Linked DNA regions of Bombyx mori. The protein of the gene in region 1 interacts with the protein of each later gene in a pairwise test. Links are inferred from orthologs where the notes say so. Each region holds a gene or a part of one and is shown in the gene's direction. Other genes may lie near its edges.

Region 1 (10,383 bases):
AAAGAGAGAATCGATTTTGATGTTCGTCCGCCATGATGAATGGAATCATGTTCGGTGTTACCCACTCTCGATTAAATTTACCATTTAGTAAAAAATACAAAACATATAAATCGTCATGAAAATAACACGAGTAATTATTTGTCAGCAATTAAAATAATAACAATACAAAATTATGACTTTCACTAGGTGTTTTATAGACAAAATTGATTAAATTTTATAAATTTTTGGTTTCTAAAAAATTTACAAGATCCTTCATCACTTCATTACGACTACTTAGAGACCACACCGGTCACCGTCCTCGTCGAACCGCTTGCGACGAAGAGTTCGACGAGCGAACTAACTCACAGACACAGCCCACTGAGTTTCTTGCCGGGTCTTCTCAGTGGGTCGCGTTTCCGATCCGGTGGTAGATTCTGCGAAGCACTGCTCTTACTAGGGCCAGTGTTAGCAACACTCCCGGTTTGAACCCCGTGAGCTCACCTACACGTCAAGGAGAAGCAGAAATAGCCTCTCAAGGCTATCAACATAGGTAGGGAAAAAAAGGAACCACTGGTTCACACAATTTTTTTTTTGTGGTTCACACTAAAACAAATATCGCAGCGCCCGGTAATGTACGACGAAGTTCATTCCGTAGTCGAGGTCGACGACCTCGCGCGATGTTCGCTTACATTGCGCGCTCGCTTCATCGCTGTACCCGCCACGCAGGTGGAGGCCGCCAAAGCTATCGTTGAATCGAAGACCGCGGACCTGCAGCACAACGAGGCCCAGCTGGCGGAGCTGAACGCGACGGTAGCGACGCTCAGCGACAAGTGCGAGAAGGTGTGGAAGCTGTACGAGGAGAAACGGAACGAGTACATCGAGAGGAGGAACACGGCGCCCGCGGAGGGGACCTGGGGCAGCAGCGGTGAGGGACTCCGTCACTTACTACCACATTTTTTTATTTTATTTTTATTGCTTAGATGGGTGGACGAGCTCATAGCCCACCTGGTGTTAAGTGGTTACTGGAGCCCATAGACATCCACAACGTACATGCGCCACCCGCCTTGAGATATGAGTTCTAAGGTCTCAGTATAGTTACAACGGCTGCCCCACCCTTCAACCGAAACGCATTACTGCTTCACGGTAGAAATAGGCAGGGTGGTGGTACCTACCCGTGCGGACTCACAAGAGGTCCTACCACCAGTAAATGATTGATGATTATGATATTTTTACCAAATGCTTAAACTTTAAATAGTCCTGTGTTGTTCCAAAAATTTCGCTTAACCCAAATACCCTTTCACCTGTCGAATTATTGCAGTAAAATAGAATTCAATTGGAGGGTAGTTTGTTATTAATTTATATGAATGTGCAGACGCGGACTGGGGCGCCGCGGACGCCGCGTGGAGCTCCCCCCCGGCCGAGGACGCGTGGGGCGACGCGCCCACCACCACCGGTACGGTCCACGGGCGCACGGACCACGTGCAGAAGCCGCTATTAACCTTAATGAAGTGAAACTTCTTTAGACGGAGTGAGAGAGTAGGCAGAGCGTCTCGCGAACCACTCGACCGCGCAGAGAGGGAGAAAGCGAGCTAGGTCGTTCCTCTTACACACATTTTGTTTACGGGCGTCGGCCACTAGATGGCGACTGGCGTGTTATTAGTTTCTCATTCCTCCTATAGATGACAGTAACATTATTTTAGCGACATCTATCGGATTTCATATAAACCGCTATATTGACAACGGTGTGTTAGATTAGGTTCTAAAAAAAAAATCATAATACTATAGACCGCAAAAGAGGTTTCACTTCTTTCGCGTGCACAAAGCTGCACGCGCACAATTTTTTTAATTTTTTTAGAGCGAGTAATGTAATAAAAATTCTCGCGAGGTCAACGACTTCCAATCATACGTCGTACATTGCGGGCCCGCTGAATGAGCGTCTGCGCTCGACCTAGCGTAACTACAGATGCTGTTTATGTTCATATATATATATATATCTGGTCTGCTGATAAATCTATTTTAAAATTTTAAATCGATGGACGGACTCGCGGCTCGACGCTGAGAGGTTTATGAGACCCACGGACATCACATATGATATCTCGATTGTATTTTAAAAGCTGACGTAATTTGGCGTCGAAAGCAAGCAGGATGATGGTACCTATCCTAACTACAGGTTTTCACTATTTTTTTGTAACGAATAGTTTCGTCGTTCCAGCCACGGAGACGGTGCAGACCGCAGCCCCCGGGGGCGAGGGCCCGCAGCCGCCGCGGTGGCGCTGCGTGTACCCGTTCGTGGGGCGCAGCGCCGACGAGCTGAGCGTGCAGCCCGGGGACCTCATCGTGCCGCGCGCGCCCCCCGCCGCGCCAGAGCCCGGCTGGGCCTGGGGCAGCGCCAGGGGTACGGGGACCGCATCAATAATAAACTTCTTTAGAATCGTTGTGATTTCAAACTTGATGAAACGAAATGAAACGAAACGAAAAAATAAGTGTGCCGCGATTGGCTTGCCGAAGCGGCTCCGAGCGGCGCCGACAAATCACGAAGCGCTCCACACGGTCTCACTTTTTTTTTTATTGCTTAGATGGGTGGATGAGCTCACAGCCCACCTGGTGTTAAGTGGTTACATCTACAACGTAAATGCGCCACTCATCTTGAGATATGAGTTCTAAGGTCTCAGTATAGTTACAACGGCTGCCCCTTCAAACCGAAACGCATTACTGCTTCACGGCAGAAATAGGCAGGGCGGTGGTGCCTACCCGCGCGGACTCTCAAGAGGTCCTACCACCAGAATGTCACTACCTGATGTTAAGTGTTTACCGGAATCTGGAGACATCGCCGCTACAACACTCCGCTATCAGCTTTGAGGTCAATGAATATGAGGTCAAAATATCAGTTTCACAGCACTCTTTAAAGCGTTACAGCTTCACGGCAGTAATGAGCTTGATGGTACTATAACCTTTTTTTGGGCGTGGTCGATACCCCCACGGGGACTGCAGGTGGGGAGTGGGGGGCATTGTATATGCAACCACTAAGGTAGTCACGGTCACCTATAAACGACTCCCCTCCACTCTCGCCCAAGAGTCCGGTCCCCCCTCGAGACAAAATCCGGGAGGGACAGGTTGTACGCACAAGATGTCAAAATGAAGGTTGAACTCGGTCCCAGGTCAGAGCGGCTGGTTCCCGGAATCGTACGTGGAGGACCTCAACGCTCCCACCGCGTTCGTCACCGAGGTCATCGAGACCCTCGAGCCAAAGACGCAGCTTGAAGGTAAAGAGACTGAACCTAGGGTCGGGGGTCCTTCTAGACCAGGGGTGGGCAAATATTTTGATAGTCGGGCCACATTGCAGATGAAAATTTGCCTACGGGCCAAACTGTTTTTTTTTTCTAATTTTATATTGTGCGACTATTATACATAGTGTGATTTCAATTATCATAATTATATTTTCGAATAGGAGGCGCTGAAAAGAGCGGTTGTCCGGGAGAAAATTTTGGCTCCCACCGGCCCTGATAATGTGTATCAGTAGTGCCTAATATTTTATCTAAAAAAATTTATGCACCAATTTATGTTAGACAAAAACTAATATTTATGTTTTTAATAATAATGATATATACAATGCTTCACGGGCCAGACGAAATTCTACCGCGGGCCGCCATTTGCCCAGGCCTGGTATATAAGTATGTATATCAGGCTCCAGTTCCCATAGGGGGATCCAGGAGCCAGATGTCCCGGTATGACTTGTACCCGGTTATTATTGTTATGCGCTGGGGTTCGGGATAAATAAAAAAATTATACCGAAGTACAGAATAAAATTGTATTCAACACTTAAAACATTTAACAAACACCTTAAAATTCTTAATTCGCTACTACGCTTCAGGTGATCCCTAGAATTATCGAGAATATTCCACACATTTCGAGTATTGTGTCTCTGCTATCTGACAATAGATGGCGTTGTACTTCTCAAGCGTTCTAGGTGCTACTAGATTCTTCGATATTCGTTCGACTATTTGGTGATACATGGCGTTACTCTTACCGGGGTAACATTATTATAAAGGCGTCCGCGGCCTGATGTGTGCGACGCCCGGTGCACGCGACCCGAGCGTTTGAATCCCCCAAGGAAGTGCTGTCTAAACAAACATACTCAGTACCTTTACGCGCTGAGGTTCGGGATAAATAAAATGGCCACCGAAGTACAAATTAAAACTATTTAACACTCAGAGCACTTTACAAATCGCAATTCGCTTCTTCCGTTTCGCTTCAGGTGATCCGATTACTTCGCGTCATCACTGCAACGCTTTTATAGTCGATACGACAACTCTACGATTATCAAGAACATTCCCGATAGGTCTAGTCGTGTCGATATGTGTTTTCGCTGTTTGATAATAGATGGCGTTACACTCTTCGAGCGTTCTCGATATTACTAGAGCTTTTAATATTCGCTTCTTGTATTCGACGACAGATAGCGTCACTCTTACCGGCGTAACAGTATATAATATGCGTGACCCTAGATCTTAATAAATACACATTCATATAAAAGTGTTGTAAAGTTTGTATGTCACTTTTGGAGAAGAGTTTGTGTTTCTCGAGGACTTCTCCAGCCGTGACCGCTGATAAAGTGTACTCGAATAAACCTTACTCGAACATTCCACAGGGATAGCGGAGGTACCCGAACAGGAGGCCACCAGCGACCTCGGGGGCGCGCTGCCGGCAGTAGGTCAGTGAACACACACTAAAAAACGCACACCCTGTGTATAGGGCTAGTAGAGACAAATCTAACGAGCCCAAACTCGATGGGCTTACCAGTGGCCGTTCAGGAGTTCTGCTGCGGTCGAGGGTCCGCAGACCAGCTCTGCAGTGCCAACATATAGGAACGTTTTCTTTTTTGATCGTATTTTACTTATAAATGATCGCAGTAGATCCCGGCCGGACGGTAAGCGAGCCCGTTTCTGTTGAAGACGACGGCGAGTTCTACATAGCGTCGTACCCGTACAGCTCCTCGGAGCCCGGCGACCTGGTGTTCGAGGCCGGCGAGAGGATCGAGGTGGTGCGGCGCGACGGCGACTGGTGGACCGGCAGGATCGGGGCCAGGTCAGTGGAGGGGACGGGGGGGCGGCACCGTGCTGTGTGTGCTTCTAGCAAACTAAGAACGAAACGAATCTAAATGTCGGACTTTATAAATTGGAAGATGCCGACATCCAACCTAATGGCTCTTATTTGTTTTGTTTAAGTAAGTAGGGTTTGTAGCCCACTGAGTTTCTCGCCGGATCTTCTCAGTGGGTCGCGTTTCCGATCCGGTGGTAGATTCTGCGAAGCACGGCTCTTGCTAGGGTTCGTGTTAGCAACATCGTCAGGTTTGAGCCCCGTGAGCTCACCTACTAAAGTTAGGGTTACGCTGACATAGCTGCTAGGGCTATCAGCTTAGGTAGGAAAAAAAAAAAAAAAAAAGAAGGGTTTGTTAATACTTCGGGCATAAATAATAAAAAAATAAAATAAAATCGTAACGACTTTATAAATATCGGTAACGATTTTCGGAATCGTTTTAGCGTCGTTCGATATCCGAGATAAACCACAGTTTCCTTTACGACGTACGAAATTTAGATTTATATAAAAAAAAAATTCAATTTCCTCACACAGGACCGGCATATTCCCCTCGAACTACGTGTCCCGGGAGGCAGCGCCCGCGGCCACCTCGGAGCCCCAGGACTCCGCCCCGGCCGAGGCGTCCCCCGCACCCCCCGCCGCGCCCGAGCAGGAGGACACGTCGCCCCCCAACACAACTCCGCCGATACCTGCCTCTCAGGTCAGCCCCAAAATATCAAACTACCCCCCCTTTTTGAACTCTGGAAGGTAGATAGCCAATGGCTAGTAGTTTTACTGCTAGGGACTTTTTGGCGGAAACGCGAGAAGAGGAGTGAAGTTGTGTGATTTGCTTTATTTTGTCTATTTAGTGTTTCTTCGGGTTTAAATGTGTAATAATGGTGGTTTATTAACTGTTTAATATCTGTGCACAAGTGTGGGAAAATGAAACAAAGCCGTTGGACATACTTCTCGGGATCCTCCAAAAAGTCCACTGAAAAAATCTTAATAAATGACCACCATTTTACTGAGATTATATTTCATCCCATTTCATCTCATCTCATTTCATTTAATTTCATCCAAGTTGATTAATGTCTCAAACTAATCGTCTTCATTTCATTTCACTCCATAATAACATTTTTCATAAAAATATGAATATAAGTTAAAATAAGACATGGTCTTAGTTACCAGGTCATAAAATCCCTTAAAAAAAAGTTCTACTGCAACTACAGATTCAGACCGCAGTCTAGTAAAGGACAATGCCCAAAAGTGGGCCAACTTTATGTCAAAACTATTTGTACTTGAAAAACTATGCCTTATTTTTTTACGTTGTTTAGTTTATGTATCAACATTTCTTTAAACCTGGCATTGTTTTACAAAAAAATAAATTACTTATTTGATAACTAACATCCCAAAACTTAGTGGCATAGTTTTTAAATTCGCCAATAGGCAAAGGGCTTAGCCCATACAGCCTTACAGTAAACCTATAAGCTGCCAAACGAAAGAGTTGTCTGTGACTTGAACAACAAATTAAAAAAAAATAAGTAATGGTTATAATTCAGACTTTTTAGTTTATTTTTGTTCAATTCAATATTTATATATTGTAATAATAATTATTACTTAACACCATGAATTATTTAATATTTTTAGATATTAATGATTCCATTAGTGAAAATCTCAATGGCCTACCATTACTCTATTCTTATATAATAATATGATCAGAGAGTTTTGGCAGCAACCCGAGTGAAGCGTCACTTGAAGTTTTATTTTATGTTTTTTTAATAGTTTATTGTGATGTATAATATATAAATTGAGCGTTGTTTTGTGTATTAAACGTCAATAATCGTTGTTCACGATTATTGAGGCATTGGAATAAAACTGTGGCTAACATAGTAGTGACTGTTCTTTTTTTCAAGATAAAAGGTCTGCGGAAATTCACGCTCACTCAATGAGCTATTCATCGAGTTGACGTCAAAACTCCCAAAAAGCAATAAAAAGAGATACAAAATATAACTACGACAGACTAGGCTGTATAGGCTACGCGCTTTGCCTGCTTATTGGCGAATTTAAAAACAACAACAACAATATCGTTGTCGGCTTCCGGATTTTTATTTCATTTTAATATTATTATGAGGATATAATAATAATAAAATGTACGTAAGGGCTTATTTCTAGCAACATTAACCACAATTAACTTATTTAATACTGTAAATAATTATGAGAGCGATTATTGATTTCGAAAAAAACAATTAACAACTTAATTTTAGCTGCAGAAAAAAACAGATTTCTCTTAAATCTGGGTGAGAATATAAAAATAGTTTTCTGAATATGAAACGATATTTCTTTGTCTATCAAAATAAGTTAAAACCATCATGACGCGACAACTTTTTTTAGGGGCCCATACGCCCATAGAAAATGGGCATTGTCCTTTGTGCAGTCTTATTTAGAGAGGGAACGAGATCTTCCACCGAGCTCGGCGGTCGAGGAACTTTTTTAATTATTACCCCAAAATATTTTTGTGTAAGTTGATATTACCCTCTGGCGAAGAGCAAAAATAAAAACGAAATCGCTTCTTTTTATAATAGCATCTTTCATACTATAGCCCCCATGATAGTTTTGAAAAGAAAACAATAACTAAAAATATAATTTAAACATCATTTATTAACATCACATTAAACATCATTATTTATCAATGCAATACCTAGTAATACATAACGGTAATAATAATAATATATGTAATATACAGTTGAGGAACAAAAATCGCCCCCACAGAAAATATAAGTAAATGATAATTTCTTGTTTTGAGATTGAAATCACAACGATTCTAAAGAAGTTTCACTTTGATGTATACTTTTTACTCACAAAAATTTCATTTTTCCTCCCTAAAATTTCATTTTACCCCATTTGGGGTGGTAGGACCTCTTGTGAGTCCGCGCGGGTAGGTACCGCCGCCCTGCCTATTTCTGCCGTGAAGCAGTAATGCCTTTCCGTTTGAAGGGTGGGCAGCCTTTGTAACCATACCTTAGAACTTATATTTCAAGCTGGGTGTTGCATTTACGTTGTAGATGTCTATGTGCTCCAGTAACCACTTAACACCAGGTGGGCTGTGAGCTCGTCCACCCATCTAAGCAATTAAAAAAATAAAATGCACTAGGTTTGTGTTCCTAATTCTTTTTTCCTTTTGCGGGCCTACTGGAAGAGATTTCAGCATGAAATAAGTAGTGCCCTTGTACTCTGTATCCTTATTGACGTGTCTTTTCTAATAGCTGTGTGTACAAAATATATTAAATAAAAAAATAAATAAATTACCACGGTTCCCCGATCTCTGACCTAGCTGATATGGACCTCTAACGAACTCGCATATACATCTGTGACGTTTCTGTTGGCGCAGGACCAGAAGTCCTCGACGCCGATATCGTCAGAGGTGGCCATGATCACGGACCCCGCGCGGCCCCCCTCCGCCGCGGGGGCGCGCCGCGACTCCGGGCGCGACTCCGTCACCGGCCGCCGCAAGCACGAGATAGTGCAGGCGCTCGCCAGCTACACCGCCACCAGGTACCGCACCCGCCAGGGGACCCTCACCATTACTGCTGCAGCCGTTGTACTGTTTAAACTAAGACTTAAAACTCAGGGTGGAAGTCGACTTTGACATGGTGAATGTCTACGGACTCCGATGATAAGTGAACATCAGGTAGACAGTGCGTTTCCAGCTGTCTTTTCTGCCACGTACCATCCGGCTATGGAATGAGCTCCTCTCCACGGTGTTTCCCGAGCGCTATGACATGTCCTTCTTCAAACAAGGCTTATTGGGAGTACTTAACGGTAGGCTTGGCTATGCCCCTGGTATTGCTGAAGTCCATGGGCGACGGTAACCACTCACCATTAAGTGGGCCCTATGCTCGTCAGCCTACAAGGGCAATAAAAATAAATAAATAAAAAGACCATCAGCTCGACTACCTACCTAAGCAATAAATAAAAATATCCAATGTTCCATTCTCGGGATATGAGTGTTGTCCATTGACGGCAGCAATCCTGCTCGTCTGTGTACTCGATGTCCGATGTTATTGTCATGTCTGCCTCCAGCCCGGAGCAGCTGAGTCTGATGAAGGGACAGCTGCTGGTGGTGCGCAAGAAGGCCGACAGCGGCTGGTGGGAGGGCGAGCTGCAGGCCAAGGGCAGGAACCGGCAGGTCGGCTGGTTCCCCGCTTCCTACGTCAAGGTGAGGCGCGCCACTCGAATATAGCTCTTATTGCAATGGAGTAAAGGCGATTTTTTGTTTTCGTCAAAAAACTGGTATTTATGTTTACCCCCATGGAAGATAGGGGTTTGTGTTGCGTCATAGATGCGCAGTGTGTCATCGAGTATCGGTTCGAGGGTTGTGGATTCAACGTGAGGGACAGATGTGTATAATCTCTATATACATACGTCAGGTGCTGCAGTCGTCGGGGCGGACCTCGGGCCGCACCACTCCCGTGCTCTCCTCGAAGATGGACGCTCTACCCACGGAGACGGTCATCGACAAGGTACACTCTCCTCTCTCTCTCTTTCTCTCTCTTCCTCTCTTTCTCTTCCTCTCTTTCTCTTCCTCTCTCCTTCTCTCTCCCTCTCTATAACTCAACAAGTGATCGCGTTATAAATGACGTAACGCACTGACAATAATAACATTAGCAGCAGAACATGTTTGAAGGGGCTGTCTTTGTCTGTTGGTTACCACAGTAGGGTCAACGAATATAGTCTAGCTCTAGTATAGACCAGCTTGTTAGACCACAAAAATAGCGGATGAAAGTCGATTGTATGCAGCAGAGATGCGAATGTTGCCATGGATGTGGAATACGGAATGAATATGTTAGAGGACCTGTGACAGAGAATCTGAGAACTATGAATGTGGAAGGATATAGAAGACGAGGTAGACCTAAGAAGAAATACCTAAGAAGGATACTGAGCCTGATCCGATCAATTGGCAGGTGGTGGCGCTGTATCCGTACACGGCTCAAAACGCGGACGAGCTCAGCTTCGAGAAGGACGACATCATAGCCGTCACCGACCGCAGCCAGGACCCGGCGTGGTGGCAAGGTAAATGCAAATTGCAAGTTTAAAAAAATAAATCGTGACGATTTTTTAAAAAGTCGTAACGATTTTCTTTTAAACTGTGGCGATTTTTTTTAAATCGTAGCCAATTTTTTAATGAAATCGTGACGACTTTATTTAAATCGTGACGACTTTTAATTAAATCGTAACGACTTTATTTAAATCGTGACGACTTTTTGCGAATATAAACGCGTCACGTCCAGCGAAACATTTTAAAATTGCAACAACGACAAAACGTGTATTGTA
Region 2 (10,483 bases), on another chromosome or scaffold:
TGGTGACTTTAATGCTCATCATATAGCTTTTGGTTGTTTATCTAGTAAGAGTCGAGGTCACAGCTTATTTAATATTATTGACGACTTAGATTTATGCATTTTGAATGATGGTAGATTTACAACTGTCAACTATCCTAGACGAAATCCTTCTGCTATTGATGTTAGCTTCGTCAGTGCTAGTCTTGCATCTATGTGTGAGTGGTCTGTCCATCACAATGCCATGGGAAGTTATCATTACCCTACAATAACAGAAATTTCCTTAACTATTGATAAATATCACATTGGTTCGCCAGTAGACAGATTTTTATATAATAAGGCAGATTGGACTAAATACAACACTCTTTCCAGAACAGTTTTCAATAATTTTATCCTAAATTCAAATGACCCTATATTAACTTATAGTGCTTTCTGTTCTTGTTTGGATACATTAAAAACTATGACAATTCCTAAACTTACAAAATCAAATAGTTTCAAAAGCCGTTTGCCAACACCCTGGTGGAATGATATTTGTGAACAAAGTGTCATTGCATCTTATAATGCTCTCAAATTATATAGAAATGTGCCATCCATAGAGAATTATATTAACTATAAAAGAAAGGATGCACAGAAAAAAAGAACAATAGCAGAGCAGAAAAAAATTGGTTGGAATAATCTAACTAATACTTTCAGTAGAACAACACCCATTAGTAAGATTTGGAATTTACTTAAAATGTTTAAAGGTGTTAAAACTGGCAATAGGTCATATAGAGATGAATTCATTCCCTCATTTTTGGATAACTTAACAGACAATAGTAATTTAATTCAGACCAGTAACTTGAATATTTATTTTAATTTAAACAATGACAATCATAATTCAAAATTTTTGGTTGAACCCTTTACATGGTCAGAATTTACAATAAGTTTACAATCTAGACGCAATACAACACCAGGTATGGATGACTACCCTTACCTATTGATTAAAAATCTGGATGAATCAGCTCAAAAATTATTTCTAGATATCCTCAATTTACTTTGGCTTAACAACTATATTCCACAGGCATGGAAAACACAGTGTGTTATTCCGATACTCAAACCAGACAAGGCACCAGAACTTGCTAGCTCATATAGACCAATTTCTTTATCTTCATGTCTTGGCAAAATTTTTGAAACAATGTTAAAAGTCCGTCTTGACTGGTATGTGGAAGCTAATCATATCATTCCTGATGTCCAATATGGCTTTAGGCGAGGGCGAAGCTGTGCTGATAGTTTTATCTCTTTAATATCTGATCTGAAACATGGGAAGGAAAAAAATTTACATACTGTTTGTATATTCCTTGATGTTCAAGGTGCCTTTGACAGTATAGATCCTGGTATACTTGTGAAAGTTATGTCAGGGCTAGGAATACCCGGACAACTCTGCAAATGGATATATAACTTCTTGAATGAAAGGACAGTGTATGTAAAATACAATAATATCCTATATGGTCCAAAATCTGCCTCGAAAGGCACAATGCAAGGTGCTACTTTATCTCCGTTATTGTATAATATATACACAAGTGAAATCTGCAACTTTATAGATAATGTAAATAATAATGTAAATATTCTACAATTTGCTGATGACATCGTTTTGTATAGCAGTGACTATAATTTACAAGTAACAATAGACAGTATTAATGTAGCTTTATCCCAACTGTTCTATTATTACAATGACATTCTACATTTAAAAATTAATCCATCCAAGAGCAACGTAATGATATTCAGCAAGGATACACCAATCTATAATGTCATTTATAATGGTGAAATTATAAACAAGGTTACCAGCAAAAAATTTTTGGGAATAATAATAGATCAGAAATTAACTTTTGAATCACATATTAATCATATTTCCAAAAATGCTTTAAGAGGTCTTAATGTTATGAAATGTCTTGCTGGAGTATCATGGGGTGCAGATCCCAAAATACTGTCTTTAATATACAAATCGATTGTCAGAAGCCATTTTGATTATAGCTCTCTTGCTTATTTGAATAGTCCACATGCAAGTAAACTTGATATATTACAGAACAGAGCTTTGAGAATAATATCTGGTGCAATGTGCTCAACTCCCATAAGGGCCATGGAAGTTGAGACAAAAGTTATGCCATTAATCTTGAGACGTCTCTTACTTGCACACAGATACTGTCTCAAATTACTATCTTCTAATAATATGCAAATAGTTCAAAAAATTGCACCATACCTAGACATCACTCCTCCTTCATTATTAACTGGAATAACCCTTAACAAATATACACCACCTTTGTCCATAATATATCTGGAAATAGATAATAAGTATAAAAAGATCAGTAAACAGTCCCTTTGGCCATGTTACTCTAATAGTTATCACTCCATTTCATATCCAGTAAATATAATCTCAAGTACAATTAATAGCAATTCTGATATGATTCAGTTCTTGTCACAAAACTATACATATTACACTATATATACTGATGGCAGCAAAGGGAATAACTATGTGCATGCAGCATTTTATGATTCAAAGGCTAGGTTTTCTCAAAGCTTTGTTTTGAATGAATATTGTTCCATTTTTACTGCAGAGGCTTATGCTGTTTATCAAGCCTTACTGCGAATTACTGTGGTTAATAGCTGTACAAACTTTTTAATAATAACTGATTCTTTAAGCCTGCTAGAGAGTTTAAGTAATATATCTGTAAATTATAAAACTAATTACGTCTTGTATATTATAAAAGAGCTTTTGTATAAATGTCATCATAAGAATGTAAATATAGCATTTATGTGGGTTCCTTCACATAGAGGCATAACGGGCAACGAAAAAGCTGACAAAGCTGCACGTGAGGCTATAAACAGTATTGACGTTACAGACTCATTACTCGTACCTTTCACTGACTATTTTCTAAATATTAAAGAAAACATTTACACTCTGTGGAGGGAATTGTGGAAGAAAGATCAGGAAAACAAGGGAAAGTGGTATGGAAGTATCCAAGATAACCTGCCTGTTAAACCATGGTATGAAAAATTGAAAACTAGTGAAAGTCGAGTTTTCATCACAACAATAAACAGATTGAGATTTGGCCATAATACTGCGCCGTCACACCTAGCAAGACTTGGCATTGTTTCAAATAGCCAATGTATACACTGTCAAGCAGAAGAAGGGACGATCCATCACATTATTTTCGATTGCCAAAGTTTCCTAATTCAAAGACTTGTGCTGGCTAGTGAACTTAGTGATACCAATGCATTTAAGTGTGTCTCTTCCTCCCGCCCGCCGCCACTTAACTTTTTACTAAAAGATCCAACATCCTATAAACCTATTTATAATTACATAAAAAAGACAATTCAAACAATTTAAATGACAAAATTTAGTGAAGTGAAGTGTAGTGACCCCAAAGTAATGAACATTTTCCAAATAAGATATGACCTAAAGGTCTCTGTCACCAGGTCATAAAATTAAAAAAAAAAAAAAAAAAAAACCACTGAAATTGGGACTTTTTGGCGGGAACGCGAGGAGTGAAGTTGTGTGATTTGTCTTATTTTGTCTATTTCGTGTTTCTTCAGGTTTAAATGTGTAATAACGGTGGTTTATTAACTGTTTAATATCTGTGAAAGTGCACAAATGTGGGAAAATGAAACAAAGCTGCTGGACGTAACTTCTCGGGTTCCTCCAAAAAGTCCACTGAAAAAATCTCAGTAAATGACCACCATTTTACTGCGATTATATTTCATCCCATATCATCTCATTTCATTAAATTTCATCCCAGTTGATTAATGTCTCAAATTAATCATCTTCATTTCATTTCACTCCATATTATCATTTTTCATAAAATTAAGAATATAAAGTAAAATAAGACATGACTTAAAGGTCTTAGTTACCAGGTCATAAAATCTCTTAAAAAAAAAACGACTGAAATTTGGCAGCACTGGGCTATCGGAATGTGACAAAAACGACATAAATTCTTAGTCAATTTACTTTTATTTATTTCAAAATGTATAAAGGGTTTTCCAGAATATTAGCCCTTCATAATGTAGAAAAATTACAACTTAATGTATCAAATCTCAGATGTAATATCTTGTGCGCCCGTAAACTCAAACCCGCCGGTATAGGTTATATTTTGGTAAGAACTAAAAAACATGATCGGAATCCTTCTGCTTTATTTGTGCCAGTGCCAGTGAAACCAAACTCCGATGACATAAACATTGGTGAAGAATTTACAGGACGTCTAAAAAAACAAGACTTGTTAAAAATTCTTAACAAATTTTACCAAAAACCTGAAATCAGAGTGCTTGCTTCAGAAAATGGATTGGATGATCAATTGTTACATCAAGCTTTCCTTTCATTCAGACGGCATTGTTTAGAACATGATTTACCACCAGACTTACATATTACGATCAGTGATATACTTCAAGGTAAGGTTAACTGAATTTATATAGTGTAAACTCCCATTCGTTGATTTTATTTTGCTATTAGATACTGCTTAATAAATAAATCTAGATATCTATAGCAAACCTCAGTAAAAAAATATCTCAATATGTCTATGCTTAACTTAGATTACTTTTAGTGTGCCGAATCTCACTGACGGGACACGCGCCGATCGTTATCGCGTCCGTTTATCTTCCACCGGATAAGATCGTTCTAAGCAGTGATATCGAGGCGCTGCTCGGCATGGGGAGCTCTGTCATTCTGGCGGGCGACCTAAATTGTAAACACATTAGGTGGAACTCACACACCACAACCCCGAATGGCAGGCGGCTTGACGCGTTAGTCGATAATCTCGCCTTCGATATCGTCGCTCCGCTAATCCCGACTCACTACCCGCTAAATATCGCGCATCGCCCGGATATACTCGACATAGCGTTATTAAAAAACGTAACTCTGCGCTTACACTCGATCGAAGTAGTTTCAGAGTTAGATTCAGACCACCGTCCCGTCGTTATGAAGCTCGGTCGCGCTCCCGATTCCGTTCCCGTCACGAGGACTGTGGTGGATTGGCACACGCTGGGCATCAGCCTGGCTGAATCTGATCCACCATCGCTACCGCTTAGCCCGGACTCTACCCCGTCTCCCCAGGATACCGCTGAAGCCATAGACATCTTAACGTCACACATCACCTCGACATTAGATAGGTCATCGAAACAAGTTGTAGCGGAGGACTTCCTTCACCGCTTCAAATTGTCCGACGATATTAGGGAACTCCTTAGAGCTAAGAACGCCTCGATACGCGCCTACGACAGGTATCCTACCGCGGAAAATCGTATTCGAATGCGTGCCCTACAACGCGACGTAAAGTCTCGCATCGCCGAAGCCCGAGATGACAGATGGTCTGATTTCTTAGAAGGACTCGCGCCCTCCCAAAGGTCTTACTACCGCTTAGCTCGTACTCTCAAATCGGATACGGTAGTAACTATGCCCCCCCTCGTAGGCCCCTCAGGCCGACTCACGGCGTTCGATGATGACGAAAAAGCAGAGCTGCTGGCCGATACATTGCAAACCCAGTGCACGCCCAGCACTCAATCCGTGGACCCTGTGCATGTAGAATTAGTAGACAGTGAGGTAGAACGCAGAGCCTCCTTGCCACCCTCTGATGTGTTACCACCCGTCACCCCGATGGAAGTTAAAGACTTGATCGAAGACCTACGTCCTCGCAAGGCTCCCGGTTCCGACGGTATATCCAACCGCGTTATTAAACTTCTACCCGTCCAACTCATCGTGATGTTGGCATCTATTTTCAATGCCGCTATGGCGAACTGTATCTTTCCCGCGGTGTGGAAAGAAGCGGACGTTATCGGCATACATAAACCCGGTAAACCAAAAAATCATCCGACGAGCTACCGCCCGATTAGCCTCCTCATGTCTCTAGGCAAACTGTATGAGCGTCTGCTCTACAAACGCCTCAGAGACTTCGTCTCATCCAAGGGCATTCTCATCGATGAACAATTCGGATTCCGTACAAATCACTCATGCGTTCAACAGGTGCACCGCCTCACGGAGCACATTCTTGTGGGGCTTAATCGACCAAAACCGTTATACACGGGAGCTCTCTTCTTCGACGTCGCAAAAGCGTTCGACAAAATCTGGCACAACGGTTTGATTTTCAAACTATTCAACATGGGTGTGCCGGATAGTCTCGTGCTCATCATACGGGACTTCTTGTCGAACCGCTCTTTTCGATATCGAGTCGAGGGAACCCGCTCCTCCCCACGACCTCTCACAGCTGGAGTCCCGCAAGGCTCTGTCCTCTCACCCCTCCTATTTAGCTTATTCGTTAACGATATTCCCCGGTCGCCGCCGACCCATTTAGCTTTATTCGCCGACGACACGACTGTTTACTATTCCAGTAGAAACAAGTCCCTAATCGCGAAGAAGCTTCAGAGCGCAGCCCTAGCCCTAGGACAGTGGTTCCGAAAATGGCGCATAGACATCAACCCAGCGAAAAGTACTGCGGTGCTCTTTCAGAGGGGAAGCTCCACACGGATTTCCTCCCGTATTAGGAGGAGGAATCTCACACCCCCGATTACTCTCTTTAGTCAATCCATACCCTGGGCCAGGAAGGTCAAGTACCTGGGCGTTACCCTGGATGCATCGATGACATTCCGCCCGCATATAAAATCAGTCCGTGACCGTGCCGCGTTTATTCTCGGTAGACTCTACCCCATGATTTGTAAGCGGAGTAAAATGTCCCTTCGGAACAAGGTGACACTTTACAAAACTTGCATAAGGCCCGTCATGACTTACGCGAGTGTGGTGTTCGCTCACGCGGCCCGCACGCACATAGACACCCTTCAATCTCTACAATCCCGCTTTTGCAGGTTAGCCGTCGGAGCTCCGTGGTTCGTGAGGAACGTTGACCTACACGACGACCTGGGCCTCGAATCTATACAGAAATACATGAAGTCAGCGTCGGAACGGTACTTCGATAAGGCTATGCGTCATGATAATCGCCTTATCGTAGCCGCCGCTGACTACTCCCCGAATCCTGATCATGCAGGAGCCAGTCACCGTCGACGCCCTAGACACGTCCTTACGGATCCATCAGATCCAATAACCTTCGCACTAGACGCCTTCAGCTCTAGGAGCAGGCTTAGGGACCTCGGTAACCGTACTCGTCGAACTCGACAAAGAGTTCGCCGTGCAACCTAACCCATGAATAAGCTCGCTGAGTTTCTCGCCGGATCTTCTCAGCGGGTCGCGATTCCGATCCGGTAGTAGATTCATTCGCGAAGCAGCTGCTCTTGAGCTGTTAGGTCTCCTTCGGAGGCGCTCGGGTAGCTGTTAGCAAATCCCACCCCTCCTGGCTGAGCCTTTGCTCGCCCACCTGTCCTGGTGAAACTGGAAAGGCCTCCGGGCCACCAGTAATCCTTCAATCATAAAAAAAAAAAAAAGATTACTTTTAAAACTGAATAGAAGAATATTAACATAATAGTTGTAAACAGTGTAATGTTTTTGTGCTATTAACGGTTTTTAATAAGTGAGGACTGGCAAGGATGAAGAATGGATTCCTGGAAACCAAAATATGGTTGCAGTCTCTGAGCATTATTGTTACACATTTTGTTACTTTGATTATGCATGACATCCTAAATGTGCTTATTTAGTCCAATTAGTATGAGTCTCTTACTCTGTGAATGAATCAAAGCAGTTCATTCTCATTTCATTGTTGCCCTTCTATTTGCCAATTGCTTGATGGGTTATTTTGGTTCTACCATGCCTAGGGACCAACCTCATTGGTTGACATTACTGAAGTCCATGGGCGGCGGTAACCATTCACCATCAGGTGGGTATGCTTGTCTACCTACAAGGGCAATAAATGTTTTAAATATCCATTTTAGGTGCAGGACATGTTGATGATTTGTTTCCATACTTCTTGAGGCATGCAAGACGAGCATTTCCGCACCTTGACTGCTTGGAAGACTTGAAAAAGATATCAGATTTGAGAACACCAGCAAACTGGTAAATATATTCTAGTGCTAATAAAATTCACCCTTCCCCCTCTAATCCTAAAATGTAAAAGTTAAAGATTTCTAACTAAAGTAAATAGCTTAAATAGTGAATTACCTGAATAATAATTTGACTGTCAAAATCAGTAGAAATGTGTCATTACGGATCTCCCCAATCCATTAATGGTTTTACGTACTGCAAGCACCTGACACCGTCTTCATGGAACTTGACACTTGCAATGAAGGGCTTGACGAGTAGATTAACCCATAGACACAGCCCACTGAATTTCTCGCCGGATCTTCTCAGTGGGTCGCGTTTGCGGTCCAGTGGTAGATTCTGCGAAGCACTGCCCTTGAAAAAGGGCCAGTGTTAGCAGCACTCCGGTTTCAGCCCCATGAGCTCACCTAAATGTCAAGGAGAAGCTGAAATAGCCTCTCAAGGCTATCAGCATAGGCAGGGAAAAAAAGAAAGTGAATTACATAGTGTAGCATTAATCTAAAAAAGCACTTTTCTTTTTCATAATAAATGTTCTAAGGGATTCAGCTGAGAATAGGCAGCAGCATTCATTAAGTATTATCCCAGTGTACTGTACCTTTTACTGGCATATTGTAAAACAGCGTTGGTAATCTGGTTGAATATGGTGTCAGAGAGCTGGAATAATGCACTGGTGGGATAATCAGTTTTGCACAGAACCTGACCTAGAAGAGTGTTTGTAATTGCTTAAATTTTTGTGCCTTGGATATTTAGGTTTTTTTATATTTTCCCCACTCCATTGTTTTGAATGGGCTATTCCTAGACTATGATGAGCATGAATGCTAATTTCAACTAACACTAATAATTCAGATAAAATTCCAGGTATCCTGAAGCTCGAAGTATGGATCGCAAAATTATATTTCATGCAGGTCCCACAAATTCAGGAAAAACTTATCATGCAATGGAGAGATTCTTAAAATCGAAATCTGGTGTGTACTGTGGTCCCTTAAAGTTACTAGCAACTGAGATATATCATAAATCGAATAAAAGTGTAAGTGTAATATGTATATCATAAATTGAATACTTTTAAAACCTAGGTAATTTAGGGATAGCTATTAGGTATTACTACTATATATTTGACTATCAGATATTAAAAATGTGGGTTTATAGTATGTACATATACATTTTCGTTTCGACATGATAGCGTCTTATAAATCGATGAACACCGATTGCACGCACGAAAAAGTGTCACGTTTCACATGAGCATGCAAGCAAGAGCACGGAACAAGCGATAGAGAGGCACAATCGGCCCAAGCGTTAATTTAACGTAAAAATTTTTTTTTCAATTAACTCCTTTGTGTTTTACCAATGTACCGATTAGATCTGCAAATAAAAAAATCTCTAACTGCGAATATAGGAATTGGGTAGCATTATTAAATCCGCGAATGAAAAAAATCGCTAATAAGCTTTTACTGTAATTCTTAAAGCATTGTAAAGTACATTGATTCCGGCAACAAAAAAAAATTAATACAATGTTCATTATTGGGGATTAAAACTGAAATTAATGTGAATGAATTTGAATTGTGGGCTGCAATATACACTTGCATTTCCAGGGCACACCCTGCGATCTAGTAACAGGAGAAGAAAGAAGGCACGCTTCATTATACAACACCTTAATAAATGGTACAGATGATAATGACATAGAAACATCAGATGTCGAACCTTATTTGTTAGAAGAAACCGAATTAACACCGTCTGGTCATGTTGCATGTACAGTTGAAATGACTTCTCTAAATAATAAATGTAAGTTGTTCAGGTTGTTGATCTTATGATGTTGAATGAAATGTAATCCTGGCCATGAGTTATCACATCTAAGACGAACTATTGATGATATAGATTTGTATTTGTAATGACTCTCGCAATGGTGTTTGCTAGTTAAACAAGATTTCATAACATTATTCTTTCACAGATGAAGTGGCAATCATAGATGAAATACAAATGATAGGAGATAGAGGAAGAGGGTGGGCATGGACTCGAGCTATATTAGGTAAAGTATTTTGTTAATAAGAGATAGCAGCTTTTTTATTTTTTAATTGCATAGATGGGTGGACGAGCTCACAGCCCACCTGGTGTTAAGTATTCACCGGAGCCTATAGACATCTACAACGTAATTGCTGCCACCTTGAGATATGAGTTCTAAGGTTTCAGTATAGTACAATGGCTGCTCCACCCTTCGAACCGAAACGCATTACTGCTTCACGGGAAAAATAGGCAGGGTGTTTGTTACCTACCTGTGCGGACTCACAAGATTTCCTACCACCAGTAAAGCTTTTTTTCATGTAAAGTGAAAAATGGTTTGTAAAAAATATTTCACCTTTTGTAGGTTTACAAGCAGATGAAATACATTTATGTGGGGAGGCAGGTGCAATAAATCTCATTGAAGAAATTTGTAACACAACCGGTGAAGTAATGGAGGTAAAAATGTCAAAAGGTATATTCTTAGGAAAATAGGGTATTGTTATTTTTAAGGTAGTCTAATATTAAAGGTTTTGATTTTCAGGTTCGTTCGTACAAAAGATTAACACAGCT
Region 3 (10,483 bases), on another chromosome or scaffold:
ACTGTTGCTCATAGACGTCAGCAATGTCAAAAGCTGAGCCAGACCATAGCCCGACATCCTCTAATTGTTAGAAATGACACCTGTGCTCACTTGTAGCAACAATAGCGATTGCACTACATCTGATGGATAATGAAAATTTACGGTAGGCCGCGGCTTGGCTCTTCCCCTGGCATTGCTGAGGTCCACGTGCGACGGTAACCACTCACCATCAGGTGGGCCGTATGCTCGTTTTCCTACAAGGGTAATAAAAATAAATGCAATGCATTAATACCTATGTAAACTGAACACAAAGCATATTTTTGAGAACAAATAATATGTATCAATAAAACAATTTCTATATTTTAACACAAAAAACAGCACATTCAAAGTCATCAATCTAATGGTACTTTCAACTTAACTAGACTTATATGTGATATATTTACAAAACAACACAAAAATATTTTCATTAATTATTTTCTAAGATTTAAAGCAATTAAGAGTGACATTTTCACAAAATCAACAAGACACAATAATTTGTAAAATGCATCAAATAAATGGCAGATTACTTAATGAAAATATTTTCATAATGTTTAAGTTTGCAAATAACAAAAGAAATATTATTTCTTTTGTTTTCTTTTATTACTACTTCTTTCTTCTCTCTTCATGTCTTCTTCGTCCAACTTATCGTAATGTGATTGTATGTGGGTAAGTAGTTTTTTCTCTCTACTAAATTTCTCATTGCACATGTTACAAGAATATTGTTCTTTTTCTTTTTTATCTGTACCACCAGCCTTCACCACGGGAGTGGATGTTGAAATTTGTGATTCTTGGATAATATTGTCTGTTGGTAGAACATATGAAGGCTGCAACAAAGGATCCACATTGATAAAGGTAAAGAAGCCAGGATCTTTTGGTGGTGCTGCATCTTCTAATGTCACAGAGAAGGGTTCTTTCGATGGAGTTTCGTTGGTTTCTGGTCGAATTCTTTTACTCTTTTTCTTAGGAATTTCTTCAGTAGATATTTGAGGTTTCGTTGAGATCACTAATTTGCTAGGATTGTCAGTTTGATGAACAGTGTAAGACTGCTTTTTCATGGCTGGAGTAGTGAATGTTGCACTCTGAGTAGTTTTTGACACATAGATCCCAGTATGGTGGGCAACTGTTTGAAAAAGCCCAACAGGATATGGCTTCTGTTGTGATGGCAATACTGGAGTAGGCTCATCTACATCAATGACTTCTGAGCTTTGGATATTGTATGAAGAACATTCATTCATATCAGCATGAATTTTACCTTCATTTTTTCTTTTTTTAGGTACCTTTTGTGCAGTATTAGTCTCCTCACTTGCAGCTTTGGAAGTTGAACCTTCTTCCACTAATACAAAAGAATTGTTTGGACCAGGCATTATCTTGTACCTTGAGTTTGGACTGGGCATTAAATTGTAGCTTGAGTTTACATTAGGCATTAGTTTAAAATTTCCAAGGGGTGCGGTAGGGGTGAGAATAGTTACTTCAGGGGTTTCAGTTACACAAGGAGATGGTTCCATTTGGTTTTTTTTTACTTTACTTGCAGGGCCTATTTTGGGTTTTGGTTTAGCTAAAGGCTTGACTGGTTCTTCTAAAGCTTTATTAAGTTCTCGTTCAGCTGGCACTTCTTTACATTCTTTATTTGATGTAACACTATCATTGCCATTTGACATAATACGTTTTTCACTGTCCATTTTAAAATATTTCACAGTATTAGTGGCTTTTGGTGGTTCAGGAGGGGGTAAGTGTTTTGTAATATCAGTTTTGGGAGCACCATTTCGGGCACAAAAATGACTTTCGACTATTTCCTTTTTTAAGAAATTTCGGTTACATAACTTACATTGGAAGAGTACTCCTACTTGATTTACTTTGATTGTGCTTACATGATCCATTATGTTAAATGGCACTTCCTCTTTTGTAGTTTCCTCAGATGCAATATTTTCAGCTGTTGTATCTTTTTTTCCACTATTTTCAGGTTTTTGACTATCTTGTACCTCTGGTGTGCTAATGGAATTTGTATTTATAGTGTCAAGTTTTTTACTTTGTTTATTGACAATTTTATCTGACCCCGACCGAGTAACCCTTTGGTCACATTTTTCAATAGTCAATTTTACAGGTTTGAGATTCACAGCAGCATTACTGTCTTCTGTTTTGGCCTGCAATTTTAAAATGTTATTTGTTTGGGGTTCCGCTCGCACCTTTCGTCCAAGTAGAGAATTCTTATCCTCTGCTACAACTGATTGGTTTAATGGCATATCTTTTATAGCTTCCATAGCTTTTCTTATGAGAGCATCGCAGATGTCATCATTCGACAAGTTAGTTTTGTTCAGCTTTTCTTCCCACTGTTCTCGTGTTTTTGTTTTTGTGTTTAGTAAATCTTTTTTACCAGTAGCAGCTAGGAGATTTTCTTGTGTCTTGACACATTTCTGTACAAACTCATGAAGCTCTTCAACTTTAGCTGAGCACCGGAAACATATTTTGTGAGGTAATTCATCATTTTCAGAAATCTGCAAATATTCATTATATAAATTATTTATTAACTTTCAAACGTGAGCAAATAAAAGATCAATCAAAATCAAGACTGAATAATTATAATCTTAATTTTTATGTTATCTACATAATTTAGTAAAGGCAAGGATATTATGTCGTTTATAAAACTCTTTTCTTCAATGACTCAGTCACTAGCTTAAGTTTTTCTTCATTACATGAAACAAATTTAAAAAGGGCCTAAAAATTTACTTTTTCCTTCAAAAGAGGAGGTATTGTACTTGAGCATACTGTTTATTGTAAACATACACAAGGGCAGTACCATCCTGCCCATTTCCAATGCAAAGCAATCATGTTTCCTTTGATGAGTTGGACAGCCTGAGTACTGATTGAGACTTTTATTATATATCTAAAATCATTCGCAGAATTATTTTTTGCTGTCAATGGGCTCTCATAGCCACTATGTACTTAAAATCAGGTAAAAAAAAAAGATGCCATAAATGAATATCATTTAAATTTAAACTATTTAACAGGTAAATTCGTGGGGACTTCATATTTAATTCGAGCAGTGTTTGTTTATTTATGTTGATAATTCAGTTTTATCAGAATACAGATTGCAAACATACCCCAAAAGGCATTAGTTCATCTATCTTCTTAGCAGTTGATTTATCAGATTCGAAAATATTTAAAAAGGGACCATCTTTCGTTTCGCACAACCTGCATACTTTTGCCATGACTGGCATGACTGATACAGCAGATACCAATAGATCGTTCGGTACGTTTTTCGTTGATCCCTTTTGAAAATTTAATTGTTTCTTTGATTTTGACTTCGCTTTTTTCTTAGCCATTATTAAAGTTTTTCAACACTTATTACTATTGCTTGTATTATAGCATGCCACGCAATAAATTCGATCCCATAAGTGGTGTACTGAATAAAAACACTTTTAAACTATAAAGCTATGTGTTCAATCAAGAGAAACAACTCTCAGTCTCAAGACTTTTTGTCGGAAATATTTATAATCCACATTTAGCAAGTGACAACATGGCCGATAACATTGGTGCTACAACTTTAAAACAATAAGTGCTGCCAACATAACAGCTCCTTTTTCACTATGGCAATCACCTAAAGCCTTTATATGAAGAAATTATCTTGGTAGATACAAAGATCTTGCCGCCCAGCAAGAACAGATGGGTGAACAGGAGGGATAAGTCAAAAGAGAAAGTTTACTAACCCAAAGTCTTGGACGACCCCAGAAGCCCCAAAGAAAGCCTAATAGCTGAAGGAGGGTTGCTTCGCGAATGCTTTTACATCACATCGGAGTCGCAACCCATTCAGAAACTCACCAAACTTGTGCTATGATATATGTATATCAAGCGTGGCAACACGGTGAGCAGTGCTTTGTTATTGTACTAGTGATAACAGTAGTCATTAGACTAGTAGCGTCCACTATACCTAGAATCAGGTGGTCCGTCAGGACTTGCTTGGAGTGATGATGGTAGGGTATGATAGGATGGAGGGTGCTGCGTAAGACTGTTCAGAGTTGTTGTCAAGGGAGCTATCATGCCAAATTACCGAGATGAAGGAGCTTTCCGACGCTGTCTTCGTATACTAGCGGAAGGGTTCAAAAACTAAACTTCTTGAAGGAGTCATGAACTCCTTAAACGTGACATTTCTCACGTGCTATGGTACTCCAATGGCTAAGTTAAGAAAGCTAGATTACATTGTTTGGAACAAATGGTTTGGGTTTGTTCATAATTTGTTAAAATAATGTTGTATGTACATACCTAATACTTGTTAACCCAAAGTAAAGTAGACTTTTACAATACATACAAAGCCTTTAAAAGCACAGAGTAAAACAAGATGTAAATGGTTTCTGAAGGAACCGACACTGGTGTGCGTTAACTATCTTTTTAATCAAAGATAATAGAGAAACAAAAGCAATACGTAAGGTATTTTTTGAGTTGGCGCTTAGTGGAGGATTTTCTAACGTTTGTGTTTTATAAAAATGTAAGGACTTAGAAAAGGGCTATTTCGCATCAGCAGTACGACACGATAACCGACTTATCGTATATGTCATTAGCTACACCTTCACGCCAGTTGACTCAGCAGCCAGCTACCAGTGACGTCTTTATCATGTCCTCACGGATCGTTCTGATTCAGTCTTGGTGGTGTTGGACACTACTAAAATGCCCGCTAGCAGCAATTTTAACAAAGTTCGCCGTAACCGTCGAACTCGCCGAAGAGTCCGACTAATTATCATTTAATCCGTTAAGTTTCACACCAAAATTTTCTCGGACGGTCAAGATTTAGATCTGGTCTCATATGTATTCACGAAACAGCTGCCCTTAAATTGATAAGCCTCCTTTAGAAGCGCTCGAAAAGTTGTTAGCATATCGTTACCTCCCGACTGCGCTCTTGAGTTCATCCATCCGCCCTGGTTGAGCGGTAAGTCCTTCTCGCCAACTGCAATAAAAAAAATTAGAAATTAATCCAGAAATCAACATTTTTGTTTTTCACATTACTCATAGACAATTTAGGAATATCATTATCTAGTGAACAGTGACAGCATTCGTCCAGTTCTAATCGCCATCTTGAATTTAGTATTGTGCCAGTCGGGGGGGCGGTGACATATTTTACCCGTCATCGTCATAATTTTGTGAATTTAATCGAAAAACACCTGAAAATAGTGCCGTATAAACGTGTAAATTATTTTTTTTAATACATAACGTGAAAATGGCGGGTCAGACAATAAACGATAGGCTGTTAGCAGCCCGACACAGCATCGCCGGGCAGGGATTAGCAAAGTCCGTCTGCAAAGCGACTACAGAAGAAATGATAGCGCCGAAAAAGAAACATTTAGATTGTGAGTACTAAGAATTCCTAAGATACAAAACAGTTATAATTTTTTTAGTTCATAATCGTGTGACAATGGTCGGACGGTCGATACTCGATAACTCTGGAGCCTCGCACAGATGTGCGATCTGTGACGCGCATTCAAGTTTACATTTCAGTTGCTCGCTTGAAAAACTATAACATATTACGTGTTTCTCATTCTTCGTACCATTAATTTGCGTGTCGAAATATTTTTCAACACAAACCAGTCCCATAGTAATGCCTCTTGACACACATTATGTCACGGTAGGAAGATGAGTTGTTACTGATTGAAAATAAAACTTGTTTGTAGACTACCTGCTTATTGGATTTATGTAATAATGCATCGGAAACCTATGTGTTGAATTCGATTTTTTTCCTCACATAATTATAATATAAAAATTAATGTAATAAAATAACAGAAGATGCAATACAAAATAACAAATGACAAAATTGGCAGTAACTACTTACTTGGAAAATATCTTAGTTCTTTAAATGATTATATTTATTAACACTGGCTAAGTCTGATTGCTAGGATTTCAGATTATGTTTGATTCAATAATAATAAAAAAATCATAACCAGTGAGAGAATTGATTGATATGTGTATATATATAACATATCAATCAAAACAAAAAATAACAAGGTCTAGGTACATTTGGTGCTAAATGATTATAAGAGATGATAGACATAGCAACGTGAAAGCTGTTATTCGTCTTGAGATATGAGATTAAAATCTCAATTACATTGCTAATTCTACCTATCAAACTGGAACACATAAATGCTTTGAGTCAAAAATAGGCAGGGCGGTGATATTTGCTTATGAGAGTTAATTAACCAGATCATTAGTAAGTAATTTTAGAATGTATTTTTTTTTCAAATTTTTTTTATCTGATATATTAGTAATATTACTTTATTTACTGGTGGTAGAACCTCTTGTGAGTCCACGCGGGTAGGTACCACTGCCCTGCCTATTTCTGCCGTGAAGCAGTAATGTGTTTCAGTTTGAAGGGTGGGGCAGCCGTTGTAACTATACTTGAGACCTTAGAACTTATATCTCAAGGTGGGTGGCGCATTTGCGTTATAGATGTCATTGGCTCCAGTAACCACTTAACACCAGGTGGGCTGTGAGCTCGTCCACCCTACTAAGCAATAAAAAAAAAACAATATATTCATAATAAGCAAATCTATACAATTCTAAATTGTGAAAGCATAATATAGAAGTTTATGAAGATAATCAAGATAAATGGAATCAAAATGGTACTTACTTATTCTACTACTAATCAATTGATTATTTTTTTTTTTTTTTTTTTTTTTTATTGCCTTTGTAGGCAGACGGGCATACGGCCCACCTGATGGTGAGTGGTTACCGTCGCCCATGGACTTCAGCAATGCCAGGGGCAGAGCCAAGCCGCTGCCTACCGCTTAATACTCTCCACAAGCCTCGTTTGAAGAAGGACATGTCATAGCGCTCGGGAAACACCGTGGAGGGGAGCTCATTCCATAGCCGGATGGTACGTGGCAAAAAAGATCTCTGGAAACGCACTGTGGATGACCGCAGTGGCTCCAGGTAGTATGGATGAACTCTACTCCGGTGGCGGGCGGTGCGATGGTAAAAACGAGATGCTGGTATCATCTCGAACAATTCCTCAGAGCACTCCCCATGGAACATACGGTACAAAATACAGAGGGAACCGAAGTCCCTCCGCAGACCCAGAGGCTCCAAACGATCCGAGAGAATGGGATTATCGACAATCCGAACGGCCCTCCTCTGTATGGAGTCAAATGGAAGAAGCTGGTATTTGGGAGCCCCAGCCCAGAGATGGGAGCAGTACTCCATGCGAGGCCGGACTTGTGCTTTATAAAGCAAAAGTCTTTGTCCAGGCGTGAAGTACCGCTTCGCTCTGTTGAGGACTCCCAGCATTTTGGACGCCAACTTGGCTTTGCCTTCCAAATGACTCCGAAACTGGACATCGCTCGAAATGTCGACCCCAAGTATCCCGATACTCTCGGAAGGTTGCAGGGATACTCCTTGGAATTGCGGCGCCATGACAAAGGGGTCCTTCTTCGCAGTGAACGCGCAAACTTGTGTCTTTATCGGGTTGAATTGAACCAAGTTCAATTCACCCCATTCGGAGACTCGCCCCAGAGAGTTCTCCACTTCAGACACAAGTTTTGATCGTCTCTCTTGCACCACGCTCCGAGAGAGACTCTGATGGCCGATATATCGCGCATCCCCCGTGCTGTCATCTGCATAGCAATGCATGCCATCAATAGACAGCATGTCATTGATATACAGGATGAAAAGCGTGGGGGAGAGCACCGAACCTTGTGGAACGCCAGCGTTAATGGTCATGGTATCAGAACAGTCACCGTCTACAACGACCGTGATGCTCCGCCCATCCAAAAAGCTAGCGATCCACTTGCAGAGACCCTCGGGGATTCCGTAAGATGGTAACTTCGATAGAAGTGCCCTATGCCAGACCCTGTCGAAGGCCTTCGCGATATCAAGGCTCACAGCAAGAGCCTCGCCCTTGCTTTCCAAGGCTTCAGCCCACCTGTGAGTAAGGTATACAAGAAGATCGCCAGCTGAGCGACCGTGACGGAAACCGTACTGTCGGTCACTGATCAGCTGGCGATCCTCCAGATACTTCAGGAGTTGTATATTAATTATTCGCTCCATCACCTTGGAAAGCAAGGAAGTTATCGCGATAGGCCTATAGCTCGATGGGTCCGACCGGTCACCCTTCTTGGGGATAGGGTGGACGTGGGCAGTCTTCCATGAAGACGGAACCCTGTTAGTGCAATAAGAGAGGCGATACAAACGCGTTAGCGCAGGCGTCAGCTCAGGGGCGCACGTTTTCAGAACCACTGCAGGGATGCCGTCTGGCCCGCTCGACTTATGGACGTCCAGGAGTCGGAGTTCCCGCCTGACTGCACACTGTGTAAAGCAGATCTCGGGCAGGGAACTATCACACCGGAGGATGTTCGGTGGTGTGGCACCCCCGTCGTCCACAGTCGAGTTCGAGGCGAAGAGTTTGACCAGAAGGTCAGCCTTCTCTTTCGCACTATGGGCCAGACTGTCATCGGACTTGCGTAGTGGTGGGAGACTAGACCTGCAAAAGTTTCCTTCTGCAGCTTTGGCGAGCGACCAGAAAGCACGGCTCCCAGAGGGATAGCTCTTCAGTCGCTCGCCAATTCTAGCAACGTGCTCCGACTTCGCCTTGGCAATAACCTTCTTGTAGGACCTGGAAGCGGCGTTATATTTCCGCCTTTCCTCTGAGATGTTAGGGTCCTGACGTCTCATGGCATTATCCCATGCCACGTATGCGGACCGCTTGAGGTGTGCAGCATCCCTGCTGGCATTGTTATACCAGGGTCTGCTGCGACCCCCAACGGGCACTTCAGAGGAGGGAATAAACAATTCCATCCCCTGGAGCACCACGTCTTTAAGACGGTCCGCACAGACGTCAGGATCAGCAGAGGAAAAGCAGAACCGCCCCCATGGGTAGGATGCGTAAAATTCACGCAATCCATCCCAATCTGCTGACATATACCGCCAAACTCTTCGATACCCGGTCGTCGTTCGACGATCAGGACGAGAGAGTGGAACGGCAGCACGAATAAGGCAGTGATCAGACGATCCAAGCGGAGCGTCGACCACCACACTGTATCCGGCCGGATCTGTGGTCAGCAGAAGGTCCAACAAAGAAGGCTCGTGCCCCTCGATATCTGGGACACGGGTGGGCTGTGTCACCAGCTGGGAGAAGCCGTAGGCCAAGGCGAAATCGTAGGCAGTCCGACCCGGGAGGTCAGTGGTTCTGGACCCCAACCACTCTTGGTGGTGAGCGTTAAAGTCTCCAAGAACCACCACCTCCGCAGATGGGTACTGCTCAAGCACGCGGTTAGTCCCCTCTTGCACATGCTCAAACAGAGCTGAACCTGCATCACTGCTGTGGGACCTGTACAGGCACGCGTAGATTCGGCTACGGCCCCCGTGATCTACGCGCAGCCACAAGAGGGACAGGTCCCGTTGTTCGAGGCCCCGAAGACGGCGACAACAGACATCAGCCCGGACGAATACGCACACCCCGGCTTTACGCAGGAAGTTGTGCTCCAATACGTAGCCGGGGTATTCAAGGTATGAGGTATCATCCGGAGCAGATATCTGCGTCTCCGTTAAAAAAAGCAGGGCAGGCTGCGCCGTCTCAAGGTGGTGGTGTACGGCGTCAAGGTTGCTATGTAGGCCCCTGACATTGCTGAAATCCACATTAAATGTGGAATGGGGAGCCGCCTGTAAAACCCTTTTCTTTTTTTTCGACTTCATTAAGTTGTTATATTTCGGGAGAGTAGGATTAGGAGAGGTAGGATGTTAGAGGTGAGATCGAGGCAACACCTGAATGAAGCGCGGAACATAGTACGTGCTCGACCACGGGTTGCGTGAGAGACTGACGCAGGGCATGGAAGGGCCCCCAGTCCACTCTGCGTGCGATCGCCGGGATCCACTCCGGTCTCCGACTCCGGCACGACGACCGCACGGCAGAATTTTACACCGGTTGGCGGGACAGCTTCCCGGGGCGGAGTTTAGTAGAGACACCCGGGTTCAGGTCCCCTACTGACCGGCGGGCGGCAGCGGATACCGTTTCACTGGGTCTCCCTATACCCCCGTCAAACAATCACGCCCCGCGAGTTCGCACGCACGTCTGCTCCGCAAGTTCCAGGCGTAACCAAGACTCACCCCCAACAAGGAAGGGGAAAGGGAAGGGATAGAACTGGCTCTCCAACCCACACGCCGGAACACAGCTAGGCTATTTGGCGGCGGATTCTAGTTGGAGGGTGGTCGCCAGCCAGTCGGACTAAGTCCTACCACCGGTTATGTTTTCGGCTCCCGTTTAGCACCACCCAGGGGTCACTTGTAGGGAATCGCGGGTTAAACCTACGGAAGCGGGAAGCACCAACCCCCAAATTAATTTAGGTATCAAAATATCATAGAATTAAATTAATTATCTCTTAGTAAGTTTTTAGATCCAATGATTTATGAGCTTGAGTTTATTGTTAATTATGTATAAAAATATTGTAATTATAAACAACTTTTAGAAAATACCTTCAAAAAGGAAATCCTA

What was found.
Region 2: the proteins of intersectin-1 (region 1) and ATP-dependent RNA helicase SUV3 homolog, mitochondrial interact in a two-hybrid assay, tested with the Caenorhabditis elegans proteins (2 studies listed by BioGRID). The link is inferred for Bombyx mori from reciprocal best matches to the Caenorhabditis elegans genes itsn-1 and C08F8.2.
Region 3: the proteins of intersectin-1 (region 1) and phosphatidylinositol-binding clathrin assembly protein LAP interact in a two-hybrid assay, tested with the Caenorhabditis elegans proteins (3 studies listed by BioGRID). The link is inferred for Bombyx mori from reciprocal best matches to the Caenorhabditis elegans genes itsn-1 and unc-11.

Annotation. Positions count from the first base shown.
Region 1 is NC_085117.1:613,351-623,733, reverse strand, and holds part of intersectin-1, read left to right. Parts: intron 1-705; coding exon 706-904; intron 905-1,351; coding exon 1,352-1,432; intron 1,433-2,191; coding exon 2,192-2,374; intron 2,375-3,137; coding exon 3,138-3,242; intron 3,243-4,624; coding exon 4,625-4,687; intron 4,688-4,886; coding exon 4,887-5,061; intron 5,062-5,607; coding exon 5,608-5,773; intron 5,774-8,440; coding exon 8,441-8,604; intron 8,605-9,132; coding exon 9,133-9,268; intron 9,269-9,479; coding exon 9,480-9,572; intron 9,573-10,013; coding exon 10,014-10,122; intron 10,123-10,383.
Region 2 is NC_085119.1:5,366,704-5,377,186, forward strand, and holds the start of ATP-dependent RNA helicase SUV3 homolog, mitochondrial, read left to right. Parts: upstream 1-3,826; 5' UTR 3,827-3,974; coding exon 3,975-4,395; intron 4,396-7,812; coding exon 7,813-7,933; intron 7,934-8,776; coding exon 8,777-8,945; intron 8,946-9,507; coding exon 9,508-9,697; intron 9,698-9,863; coding exon 9,864-9,941; intron 9,942-10,277; coding exon 10,278-10,369; intron 10,370-10,454; coding exon 10,455-10,483. UniProt on the Caenorhabditis elegans protein: ATPase and DNA/RNA helicase able to unwind DNA/DNA, DNA/RNA and RNA/RNA duplexes in the 5'-3' direction.
Region 3 is NC_085113.1:1,559,176-1,569,658, forward strand, and holds the start of phosphatidylinositol-binding clathrin assembly protein LAP, read left to right. Parts: upstream 1-5,050; 5' UTR 5,051-5,224; coding exon 5,225-5,354; intron 5,355-5,833; exon of another isoform or gene 5,834-5,983; intron 5,984-10,483. Other genes in the region: uncharacterized protein LOC101743063, read right to left, coding at 597-2,510, 3,117-3,338.